Linked DNA regions of Coturnix japonica. The protein of the gene in region 1 interacts with the protein of each later gene in a pairwise test. Links are inferred from orthologs where the notes say so. Each region holds a gene or a part of one and is shown in the gene's direction. Other genes may lie near its edges.

Region 1 (4,091 bases):
ACAACTTGGCACTTGCAATGTATTGTGTCCTATGGAACTGACTTCAGTCCAGGGGAGCAGCTGACAAGCACAACAACTCTTGTTGTAGATTGTTAGCTCCAAGCCAGCTCAGACCTGTTTTATGACAGGGAGATTGCACATCTGAAGTGCCTCTGTCCAGCTTCTCCCAGGTGAGGTGAGTGCACTGCAGCCCTGGTATGACCAGGTTGTATTTGTGGCTGTATGGGAGCACTAGGGCCTACACACGCAGGGTTGCTTGGACTCCAGCCAGAGCCATTGCTGGGTACTTTCACTGCCCTGCTAGTTACCAAAAAACATTTAAGCCAGTTTTGAACCATGAGCGGATCTGAGCCATTTCCCATCCCCAAACAAGGTAGAGCCCTGTGACTCCAGGCACTTCCTTGGTCCTCCCGAGGTGGCCACAGCGCTGAGTATTTCTACACGCTGAGACACGGGGTCAGGGTTCAAGCAGTGAATGCAGCTGGGAACTGGGGAACTGCACCTCAGGGGTTACAGCCCTGTCTGAAGGACCTTCAGAATGTGGCTCTTAGAAACACGGCCCCAGGCTGCAGACCACGACGCGTGGTGCCGGATCGCATCAGCCGCACCCGCTCGCAGCGTGACGCCGACTTGCCTCTCCGGGCGAGCTCCCTGGCGGTCTCTTTGCCGATGCCGGTGTTGGCGCCCGTGATCACCGCCACCTTCCCGTCCAGCCTGGCCGCGGACCCGCAGCGCCCTCCGGCCACGTACCGCCTGCAAGAGAGCGGCGGGACTCGACGGCGGCTCCGAGCCCGACATCGGACCGGGCACCGCGACACCCCGCTCCGCCCGCTCCGCCCGCTCCGGTGGGGCCACGGCTGCCATTGGCTGACAGCGCGGCTCCCGGCGCGGCGGCCAATGGAGTCGGCGCGGCGCCGTGGGGCGAACCCGGGCCACCGGCTCCCACCGCCCCGTGCTCGGCTGAGCCGGACCCCCCGCGGGAGCGGCTCGAGCCGGCTGCCGCCAACCGCACACCGCCGTAACAGCGCTGCCCGAAAGCCCTTTGTATGTCTCCAACCCCCAGAAAGGAGCCGCTTAGCCCGGCGGCACGGAGCCCCCCGAGGCGCCCCACAGCCCCGCACCTGACGTAGGGCGCCGCCGCCAGCAGCACGAGGGGCACGGACACGGCGGCGCCCAGCACCGCGCCCCAGCAGCTCAGCATCGCCGACGGCTCCATCCGCGCCGCGTCCGCCCCGCACTGATCGCGCCCGGAGGAGCCGCCCCGCCCCAATGGGAGCAATGGGCGGTGCAGGGCGGGGCGGGGCGGAGCACCACGAGGCGGCGCTGCGACTACGGCTCCCAGCGGGCAGCGCGCCGCCAGGACCCCGCTCCGCCTGGGCTGCCCCGGTGCCGCGGTCAGGCAGCGCGGGGCGTCTCATTGCGCAGGCGCGGGTCCTCGCGGCCGATGGCGGAAGCGGCGCCGGGCAGTGCCCCGTACGGCCCATCGCCATGGCGGAGCGCGGCCCCGCGTCCTCCGAGCACCTGGAGCGGCTGCACGAGATCTTCCGCGGGCTGCACGGGGAGCTGCGCGCCGTGCCGGAGCGGCTGCGGGGCGGCGCGGCGGGTGAGGCGGGGCGGATCCGGCTCGGCGCTTTCGTCGGGTTCGCGGAGGTTTCTCCCGCAGCGCGGCGAGGCCCCGCGGTCCGGCCCGGCGCTGCCCGAGCCGAGGGGCTCGTTTGGCTCCGCTCCCGGCGCACAGCGCTCGGCTGTGGCGTAGCGGAGAACGGGAAGTGGGCGCGGAGGCGGGGAAGCACCGGCTGGGTGTGAGGGGTGCGGTGTCCGGGCTGCCCGGTTCAGTCTAATACCGGGTTAAATGCAGGGTCACCATCCTATTCGTTTCCAGAAAGTACAGTGGGAGGCACTTAAAACTATGGGCCGCAGCTTTCAAGGCCAGAAGGCAGAGCAGGCTGCTCACAGAAGCTGTGGAGTCTCCTCCAGTGATATTCAGGACCCTCCTGGATGCTTTCCTTGGTGACCTGCAGGGAACTGGCTTTAACAGTGGGTTGGACAGGGTGATCCCCTGGGGTCCTTTCCAAACCCTGCAGTTCTGTGATTCAAAGCTGCCTTTGTTTTATTGACAGTCACCAAGAAGGAAAAGCATAAAGGAAGGGATGCCCCTTTGTGAAGAAGGGCCCTGGAATCTGGGCATCGTTTCTATACAATTAATGGGAGGAGGTTGCAGGGTAGGGTGAGGGTTATTTTGCTGCCTTGAAATACAAACTCAACCCTGTTGCTGGGGAAAGAATGGGGAGAGACCGTGCTCACACATATTGAAAAATGCCCCACAACGCTTGAATTTCAAAGAACAGAAATTTCCTTGCAGAAAGGAGGGTTGTCAGTTTTGTGGACAAAAGTAAACTATTGCCAGGTCCCCAGATCTGTGATATTCCCAAGGAAGTATAACAAGGGAGTTCATGTGAAGTCAGGAATTTATCTCTCTTTTGAAGGCATTTGTAAGGCATTCTTTGCTGTCCATGCCCACATGGGTCTTCATTTTTCACACTGTCATGAAAAGTCTGTGGGACAACAGATGGTGTCCTGTGTACTCCTTTGAGATGATTGGTAACTTCCCAGACTGCAGGGAGGACAAAATGTGTCATTGTTGGACCATCTTCCATGTGGAAATGTTATCTTACAAGCTAATAAATTCTCAGGTCTGGAAGCAAGTGTTTTCTTCCTTCCAAACCTATAAGAAAGCATTTTAAATGGCATTGATCAGTTTCTGCTATAGATCCCATTCTCTGAGTAAACAGTTAACTGCCTTTTTCAACTGATTGTTTTTCGGTTGGTTTAAATGAGATCTCACAGATGCTGAGAAACATGTGGGTAATGTTTCTGTGGCTGAAGTGCAGTGCTGTACTGATCCAATTGTGGGCACCCAAAGAGGGTAAAATACTGCTTTTTCAGCACTGCTTCGGGTTTCAATGGGTTCGAGACAGCAGCAGTTGTTCTAAGAGGGCACTACATTCACCAAAGGAGTGGAGTGTCCTGCGTGAGCAGAATGGTGACTTTAGAAAGTTGTTTCCTTGCTGTGTGTGCCCGTGTCCTTGCTAGCAGCCTGGCTGTTCAAGCAGTTGAATCAGCACAAATGTACGTGGCAGAAAAGCAGGGGAGGAGCTGAGGATAGTCAATGTAGGAACCCCATAAATCAGCATTTCCTGCAGCGCTAAACTTATGTTTAAACTTATCTATCTTAAGTGCACTACAAGTCAAACTCAGGGGCTTAATGGGGATTTGAACTGAAAGGGAAGGGCCCTGGTGTGGCCACGGCACATCCATAAGATGAGCTGGTTTTAGGTGTTTTGATCTAACATCCAGTGTGGTTCCAGAAAAGAGAAGTATTTGGACAACCTGATCTGGTGTATTGATGGTGTCTTCCATCTCAGAGCTCTGCAGGGTGCTTGTCTTATTTGAGTGGTTGTTTTTAGTGAACTGCTAGGATGCAAAAACCCGATTTGCTGGAAATCAGGATTTCAAGTTCTGCTTTAGTTTTGTTGGGGTTTATCTCACGTGTTGCTCTTTCTTGTGCAGAGGAGAAGAAAAAGCTGATTCGGGAGTTTGATGAGAAGCAGCGTGAAGCAAATGAAACGGTAAGTTTAAGCCTGGAATTGTGGCCTTTCTGGCCACTTAATATGTTGATTGCCCTAGAAAGGACAGTATCCCAAGTTTTACTTTAATGTTCTTATGTGAACATAATATGTGAATCCCTTCATCTAGTGTAAGTTCTGGGTACAGCTGTTTATAAGAATGAATGTGATGCTTTAAAATAAGTGTTCTTTTCTTTAAGCTCCGGGAAATGGAAGAAGAACTGAAGTATGCTCCTCTACCATTCCGCAATCAAATGATGAGCAAAATCCGGGCATACAGAAGGGACCTCTCCATGTTCCAGAGGGAGATGAGAAGCACAGATTTGGGACTGGGCCCTGGAAGTCAAGGGGATATGAAATACGGAATCTTTTCCACAGAAAATGAACAGAGTGTGAGCATCTGATAGAAACTGTATTTAAAGCTTCTGTGATTATGATAATGTTTCAGATGTATTGCTTACAGTG
Region 2 (3,577 bases), about 11 Mb from region 1:
GTCACTCATGCTTTTAGTGAAAGTAGCAAGGAAAAAATCATGGTTTCCAACAAACAGGAAGTAAATAATAGTTACAGGTCTGCTGCAGACTTGTCCTGGCCTAAAATAGAAATTATCCCAAACGTACAGTGTAGCAGCAAGAACAATATACAGCTTAATTCTGATGGAATGCTGGTAACTCACAAAACTGGTCACATTTTAATTGTGTCTTAAGCCAAAGGGGAAAGTTGATCCATTTGAAAAAGAATCTTTAATTAGATAATTTCCCTAATCTAGATTAACAGTGAAGCTATGCAGAGTTTCTCCAGCCCAGGAGAAGGATGGAAGGTGGCAGTCATGGAGCACTTTCATCATCCATTGACTGAAAGTCATAGGGACTTTAGAGTCTAGATGACAAAAACTATTTCCAGTTCTCTGTGTCAAATTTTCTGTTCTCCTCCCACCCCTACCCATCCTAAACTTATTTGGCCATGTGTCTGAGGAAAGGTGGAAACTAACACATAACTTTCTGGATCTTGTGAAGATATTTTGTGTAGTCCTGTGCCAAAGGATTTATACAAGGACTGAATGAGTAAGACAGATTCCTTGAGCTGTATGTTACTGTTTGGCACCTTTAGAAATCATGCAAAAGGATGTCACTTTGAACAGAACCAGAAGCACTGAGTGCTGCTTGGCACTCAGAAAAGGTAAAAGGCACATTCTCTATATTCATGACCGTGCTTGGAACTCAGAGGGAGGGAATCAGACGTATCTCATAAGAAGCCCCGGACTGCAGCTAGATATAATTCTCGCCTTCCAGTGTCTCTGAATCTGTCACCATGTCTAAGAGAGGAGTGTAAGTGACAGGAAACTGGTAAGAGTCTGTCTGTCAGAAAAGAGAGAAAAATAATTTCCTATCTCTTATCCCTCATCTAGCTAGCTAGCTATCAAAGACAAAGATATGGTTCCTGGCTCTCCGCCTGTCAAATACATTATGAAAGCAATTATGTCACAAGTACAGCTCCAGCTCTGCTGAATGAATCTGTCAAGAGGGAACAGACTGTTTTGCACACAGCTCTTGGCGCTAAAAGAGCAGAGTACTTCAGGGAAGGGGGGGGGGGGATTTATTATTTTTTGAAGCAGTTTGCTGAAGTGTAGATGCAGTCTTTGAAGTCCAGATTTCTGTGCTATGTGGTTTGTCATTTGCATCTGTTGTTTCCTTTAGCATAGGTTTACTCATCTTATTCTGAAAGTTTAATTTTCAGCATGACTTTAAAATTGGAATTTTGAAAAAACCTTTGTGATGTTTGTCTTAACTGCACTGCAGAAAGGAGAAGAAGTCAGAAACCTGAAACATTACTGGTACACATCTTGGCCAGACCAGAAGACACCAGATCAGGCTCCTCCTCTGTTACAACTAGTATTGGAAGTGGAAGAGGCAATGCAGAGTGCAGAAGAGAAGAACGCTCCAGTGATTGTTCACTGCAGGTGAATAAGCATTGTATGCAAACTCTAAGGACTGCTTTGTTTGCATACAGTAGCCTGCTTTAGATGCTGCCATGTTGAACCATTGGTCAGAGATGTGAAGGAGATCTGGTCCAAATGCTTTAAATTTTCTTGGAACTTCTAAAATTTAATGACATTTTTCTGTTGCATGCAGATACAGATTGAGCTGCAGACAGAAGCTGTTGTTGTTGTTTGCTTAGTTTTAAGTAACAACCCCCTTGTTTCATTTGCTTTACCAGAAATATATGCATTTGATGATCTTAAAAGTGCCACTTTACCAAAACTAAACATACTGTGGGTGAAACTGAGTAGGAAGATGCATGAAAGCAGAAAAAAATGAGAACCTAAAATAATAATATATATACATTTTCAAAGAGGACTAAAAACAAGTCTTGTTTTGCTAGTATTTAGGAAGATTAAATGTGATTACTTGAATACCACAACTCAATTCTCAAAACAGTTACTGCAGATAAATAAAGAGAAGTCTGGTATGTAATGTACTAATGCTATCAGGATAATTTTCCATAATTTCAGTAAAAGTACATTTTGCCAAACATGCCTTTGGAGTTTCTGTAAGGAATTTCACCTAATTTTGCATGACATTTTCTAGGAAATCTTTAGATCATGTAAATATTACCATCACAGTTACTTGAAGACTGAGATCAGCTCTTCAGGAGTACACTCATCCAGCAAATCTCCATTGAATTGCCTCAATCATTCTGTAATAATAATTAAAATAATTCTAATGTATCTGATACTAGTTTGGTTTTCCTAACAACTATAAACACTAAATTAAAAGTCTATGCACTCAAAGAAAAATAGTGTTAAAAGAGTTTGCTAGCAGCAGCTCTCTGCAGGCTCCATTGTTGCTTGTATATTTGTTGCCAGTGTTTTTGTGTTGTGACTTGAGCACAATTTAAATGAAAGCAGGATTTCTTACAGGTAATTACAATTATCTAATGTATAAGAAGGTCTGTCAGAATTTGCTGTTTAGTTTTTTATAAGGTGATAAGAATACACAGCTTTCATAGCACTGTGCCATCTCAGACTCAAATCGGTTCTGGTCACATAGTAAAGGCTGAATCAAATACAAAAGTGTTCACGAGATGATTTTTGGTGCATTTCTTATATCTCTTTACTAATTCATAGAGTTACTAGAATGCAGATTTGAGAGCAAATGTAATCATACTTATCATATTGCTGTCAGCTCCAATAATTTAAGCTAGAGTTTTTAACTGTACATATGAATGAAAATAGTTTCCAAGAAGCTGTTAGGGTTAAGAATCTCAAAGCAAAGGTTGCTCTCAAAGCAATGGTTGCCTTCAAAGCACGTCTAACCAAGGAACAGTACTTAACTGTTTATTTTTACAAGTTCAATGACATTACGTGAGGCAGTACCCACATAGTCCATTTTTATCACTCTATGTGCAGTAGAGAAAGCTGAAGCCTTTCTGTGTGAGTGGCTCACAGTGTGAATGGTGTTGTTCCATTGGAGCTATTATCTTTCCTTAGTTAAGGCTTCATATTCAAGAGCACCCATCCATCAGAGTTTGGAGGGAGGAAAGAGATAATAGAGTTTGACTGTGGTTGAAGGGCATTTGTTTAACATGAAAGTTCCAAAGCCGTTCTAACATCTTTGCTGCCTCTCTCTCCTTTTTCCTCCCTTAGTGCAGGCATCGGGAGGACGGGCTGCTTTATTGCAACTAGTGTCTGTTGTAAACAGTTGAAGAATGAGGGCATAGTTGACATATTGCGAACAACTTGCCAGTTACGGTTAGACAGGTAAGAAAACTTGTTTCCTTTCCAGAAAAAGAAAAATGATAAACTTTCTCTTTGCTTAAGGAGGAACAAATGGGAAGTGGAGAGGAACAAAGGCCGATGAAGGCTTAGGGGAACATTCTTGGAAGGAAGTAGTCCTGTTCTAAGTAGTTTTGTCTTGCTTATGTTAGTAGAGCAGAAAACCTTAACAAATATCCTCAGCAACTGAGTTAGGTTCGTGGTTGGCATTAAAATCTACACAGCTGTGTGGACTTCAGTGCCATGAGAGATGACCATTTTCACCAGCAGAGGAGTTGGCACAATGTTCATAGGG
Region 3 (4,288 bases), on another chromosome or scaffold:
GCTGTTCCATAGCAGAATGCTGCTCTGTGATATTGAGATTGTCATCATGCAGTTGGTAACTTCTTAATCCCAGGTCAGCTCTAATAAAAATAAACATGCAGAGGTGGGGTGTACATTAGCCTCATTTCAGTATTTTGAAGTACAAAGAGCTGCTAAGCCGTATTTAATATAGTAGAGGTTTAATAAATCAATGAAAGGTCAAAAGTTAATTTCTAGTGTAAGCTATTCCAGGTAGGAGCTTAATTCCAAGGAGCAGCATTGTAAGACAAAGAACTGCCTGTGGTTTTAGGGCTGGAATTAGCTGGTTTAACTAGGAGGAATAGCTCTGTGAAGGAAACTAAGCTTCATCTGAACAAACAGCCTAAAAGAAGTTGACCCTATTTCTTTCTCTCCCATTCCTGGATGTGGAATAGCCCTGACTGTGTGAAGGCTTTCAGTCTAGGAGGGCCACTTGTTGGATGCATGAGGCTGTGTCAGCTGGTGGATCACAAGTAGCCCTGGTAAGTTGTCTGTTCCTGCTGTTTGGTCATGCAATGAGTTGGTCTTGTTATTTAAATTAAAATCAAATTGCAGCTGTGATAACTTAGTCCTGAGTAACAGCAGCTGATGTCCTCAGTGAGGAATCCTCTTCTACACAATCTCATGGGGTCAGAAATGCCATGGATGTGGAAGGAAGAAAGCAGAGCCGTGTTTTCTTCCTGAAAGCAAAAAAATCTGCCTGTATTTGTTAACAGTTCCTATCGTATAGTTTATTGCTTAAACTGCTGAATTACTTCTGCTGTTTTATAATTAAGAATGTCTTCATGTTAATACTTGTAGGCTTTGCCACTTTTAACTATAAACGTTTCCTCAGCTCTGCATGTCACCAAATTACTGGCAGGAATGCCGGTCACAAGGCTGGAAGCAATTACAGAAGTCATGCATCTGGATCAAATAGACTTTATGAAAGGGAACTTAGTAGCAGAAAATGTGTTGAGTTTACAAACTCTTGGTAATAGCGAGTTTTAGCCACTGCCAGAGTGAAACTCTGAAGGTTTATTGAAAGAGTTAACGTTGCTTTAGTACCTACAGAAGAGTGGCTGGAAACTCAATTTCCATAAAGAAATGCCATTATTGGTTGTAATGGAGTCGCTGTGTTTATTCTAACCCGTGACAACCTGGCTGAAGCTGCCTGGGTTTCTCCTCAGGTGGGTCTTACTGAGCATCATGGCAGTGGATGGGGCCACCTGTGATCGAAGGGAAGATGGTGATTGAAATGATTCAGGCAGTGCAAAGAACTGCTAAAACCCGATAATTCCAGCTCAGATTTGTGGCGTGGTGTACATGAGCTATCTGTATTTCTTCTGTCAGACCATTGTTAGCACCCCGGGTGCAGTCGTGCTGTGTAAGCAGCTCCGTTCCGCCTCCCGTTCCTGTGGTGGTCGCGCTGTTCCCGCCCCCAGCGCCGACCGTTGACTTTCGAACGTCGCGGCCGTTGCGCTGTAGCGCATGCGCAGCTGTGCGCGCTGAGAGGAGCGGCGGCGCCGTGCGGGGCTGGCGGTGCGGGGAGGTGAGAGGAGGCGGCCGGGCTGCGGGACGCGAACAGCGGCAGCGGGAGGCGGGGGGGCCGAACCCGCGGTGTCCCGGGGCTGCGGGGCTGCGGGCCGGGCTGGGCGCTGTGCCGGCTGCGGCCCCGGGCGGCGCTGAGCGGCCGCGTTCCCTCACAGCCCCGCCGGGTGCCCGCAGCGAGCGCGGCCGGAGGGCGCAGGCGCCGTTCTGCTGGTTGGCCCTCAGCGATCCCTCCGTGTGCCCGGTTACCTCGGTGGTTGTTGATGTATTTCTTTACGTTGGAAACCTGCTCGTTTAGGAACTACCTCGCACAGCGGTGTTTGGGGCGGCTGTGGCCCGCGGGAGGGGACCCCGGGCTGGGGCTGTGTCAGGACGCTGCTGTGGGCTCCTCCGTCAGCTCGGGGGGCACGGAGCTGGGCACAGAGCTGGGCTGATGGAGCTGGGCACAGAGCTGGATACAGAGCTGGGCTGATGGAGCTGGGCACAGAGCTGGAGGTGGCCCTTCCTGCAGCAGGGGGGTTGGAGCCTGATGATCCTTGAGGTCCATCCATCCCAGGCCATTCTGTGGATACAGAGCTGGGCTGATGGAGCTGGGGCTGGTGTCACAGAGCTGCTGCCACGCCGGTCGGGCTGTTGGAGCACGGCGTCGTGTCCCGGCTTCACTGGGATGGATAGTTGGAAGCTGTGGCTGTTGGGTTGCGCTGCCGGCGCTGTTACCTCCATCGGAACCGAGAGCTGCTCGGGAGGCGCCGCTCAGCCCCATGAATCAACGCTGGGGCTGCGGCTCAGCCTGTTCTGTTTTCCGAGCACTCGTTCTGCCACGCTTCACCACGACAGTGACCTTTAAGTGGGAAATATTCCCTGTGTGTCATTTAATCTCTTATATTTCTTATCCATAATGCAATCTTGGGCTTCTACACTAGTGATAGAGGGGGGTATTGTGGACCTCAAACATTTCTGTTACTGGTTTAGCTTGGGTGCATTGAGCTGTTGGCAGCACCAAACTCCCTGGGTCTGACTGGAACTGGCTTAGGGTCACAGCTACCTGGTGCCAAATTCACCTTTTAAGAGTTTACCAGCTTGTTACAGCTGACTTTTGTTGTAGAGTTCCCTATTTACCCACAGAGCTGTATTCTAGATGTAATAGTTACTGCACGAGTGTTTGTATAATTAATGAGACGAGCAGTGGCTGACTCTCTAGGTCAGGAATGCAGCGTTGTCATTGAAAACACTGCGTTACTTCGTTCCATCCAAATTAAAGCTTGCTTTTAGAAACAAATAAATTAGACCCTTGAAGTCTGCACAAAGAATGTCAAACTAATGAATTTTAAAGCATAGCTGTGGCAGGTATGCTATATTACATGCTTTTATCTCACGTACAGCATTGCTAATGACAGGAGGGGAAGCTGACGGCTGCTCTGTGGTTCTGTTGCTACAAGCGTTCAGACACCCAACGTGCTCCCGCCCTGGTTACACTTCGGATTTCAACTTGTCTTCTAGCTTGTAATTTGCTTACACTGAGTGGCCCATCCGTGATGAATGCGTGTGTATGTACATACATTTGCTGCCAAAGCTCTGGACAGGAAAACATTTCCCACCTTCCTGCCTTTTATTTCTTCCCTTGGAAACAGTTTTTCTCGTTCCTTGCTGAACTGCTGCTGGCTCTGGATCTCCCTTCCTTGGCGCTTCCTGTCTCTGGCTGCCACCTCCTGCCTTCCTTCCACTGCTGCTGATGTACAGTCTGATTCCTCCTCTGCTTCTATGAGAGCAAGCAAATACTTTGCAGTTAAAAGCATCTTTGAAGGTTATTTTTATCTTGTACTTTATGTCGATGTTTATTGTTTATGAAGAACATTGCGATAGTTCATTTGAAGGGAAATTCAGCCCTGGACTTGAGGAAAAAATAATGTTTGCAAACATAAGAAGCTTGTGTGTTCTGTAGTTGTATTGGCTCCATGTGTGTAGGAGAAAATAATGATGATACCGTGAAGGATTGTTTTTCCCAACCACAAATGAAAACTTAAAATTCAGCAGAGTGGAAGGGACGTCCCCCAAACTGACAGTGTCTATTAGTGCACACACGTAGGTGTATTTCTCATAGTAATTAACTCCCAGAAAATAATGTATGTGGCTGGGGAATGGCTCTGGTGCACTTAGTTAGAAATGCTGGTGTCCTTCAGCAGTTCTGTTCCAAAGGTGCTTCTAGAAATGGTATCTCTTCCTTTTGGGTGCCTTCATCCATCGTGGCCTGTTAGAATAGTGGAGTTAAAATGAGCTAGCAGGTATTTTAGATTAACTGGCAGGAATAAAAAATGACCTGAGGTAAGGTAGATAAAGCTAAATGATATTCAGAAGATAAGTTGATTAAAGTTGACTTATTTAAAAAAACCGGCACATAAATCTCCCCTTTAACTTGAACTTGGTGCTTTGGGTAGCGATGGCCTTTAACCATTAGATTTCTGTGTATTGTGTTTGCTTTTCCGGGGCAGAAGCAATGTGATCGTTGAGCACTTTCACTTTGGAGTGTGCCGAAGTATTGGGGTGAGAAGAAGAGCTGCACTTCATTCTGCTCAGCCCGAGCAGGTTCTGTGCTGGAGCTGATGCAGCTGATGTGTTGTGATTGCTGCTAAATATCTTCCTGCCCTAGAAAGAAGAGGGGCCACTTCTGAGTGCAACATGCCCCTTATGGCGCTGCTGGCGAGCTGTGTCCATGGCTGAGCCCTGCAGCACTTGGCAGCAC

Evidence for each region.
Region 2: the proteins of VTI1B (region 1) and PTPN5 interact in binary tests that used the Homo sapiens proteins (3 or more experiments, as listed by UniProt). The two-hybrid records come from large-scale screens. The link is inferred for Coturnix japonica from reciprocal best matches to the Homo sapiens genes VTI1B and PTPN5.
Region 3: the proteins of VTI1B (region 1) and TRIM59 interact in binary tests that used the Homo sapiens proteins (3 or more experiments, as listed by UniProt). The two-hybrid records come from large-scale screens. The link is inferred for Coturnix japonica from reciprocal best matches to the Homo sapiens genes VTI1B and TRIM59.

The regions. Positions count from the first base shown.
Region 1 is NC_029520.1:27,588,964-27,593,054, forward strand, and holds the start of VTI1B (vesicle transport through interaction with t-SNAREs homolog 1B), read left to right. Parts: upstream 1-1,263; 5' UTR 1,264-1,269; coding exon 1,270-1,603; intron 1,604-3,570; coding exon 3,571-3,629; intron 3,630-3,826; coding exon 3,827-4,018; intron 4,019-4,091. Other genes in the region: retinol dehydrogenase 12, read right to left, coding at 635-753, 1,122-1,216. UniProt on the Homo sapiens protein: V-SNARE that mediates vesicle transport pathways through interactions with t-SNAREs on the target membrane. These interactions are proposed to mediate aspects of the specificity of vesicle trafficking and to promote fusion of the lipid bilayers.
Region 2 is NC_029520.1:16,692,537-16,696,113, forward strand, and holds part of PTPN5 (tyrosine-protein phosphatase non-receptor type 5), read left to right. Parts: intron 1-1,306; coding exon 1,307-1,467; intron 1,468-3,153; coding exon 3,154-3,267; intron 3,268-3,577. UniProt on the Homo sapiens protein: May regulate the activity of several effector molecules involved in synaptic plasticity and neuronal cell survival, including MAPKs, Src family kinases and NMDA receptors.
Region 3 is NC_029524.1:19,665,753-19,670,040, forward strand, and holds the start of TRIM59 (tripartite motif-containing protein 59), read left to right. Parts: upstream 1-1,439; 5' UTR 1,440-1,549; intron 1,550-3,192; exon of another isoform or gene 3,193-3,352; intron 3,353-3,424; exon of another isoform or gene 3,425-4,288. UniProt on the Homo sapiens protein: E3 ubiquitin ligase involved in different processes such as development and immune response. Serves as a negative regulator for innate immune signaling pathways by suppressing RLR-induced activation of IRF3/7 and NF-kappa-B via interaction with adapter ECSIT.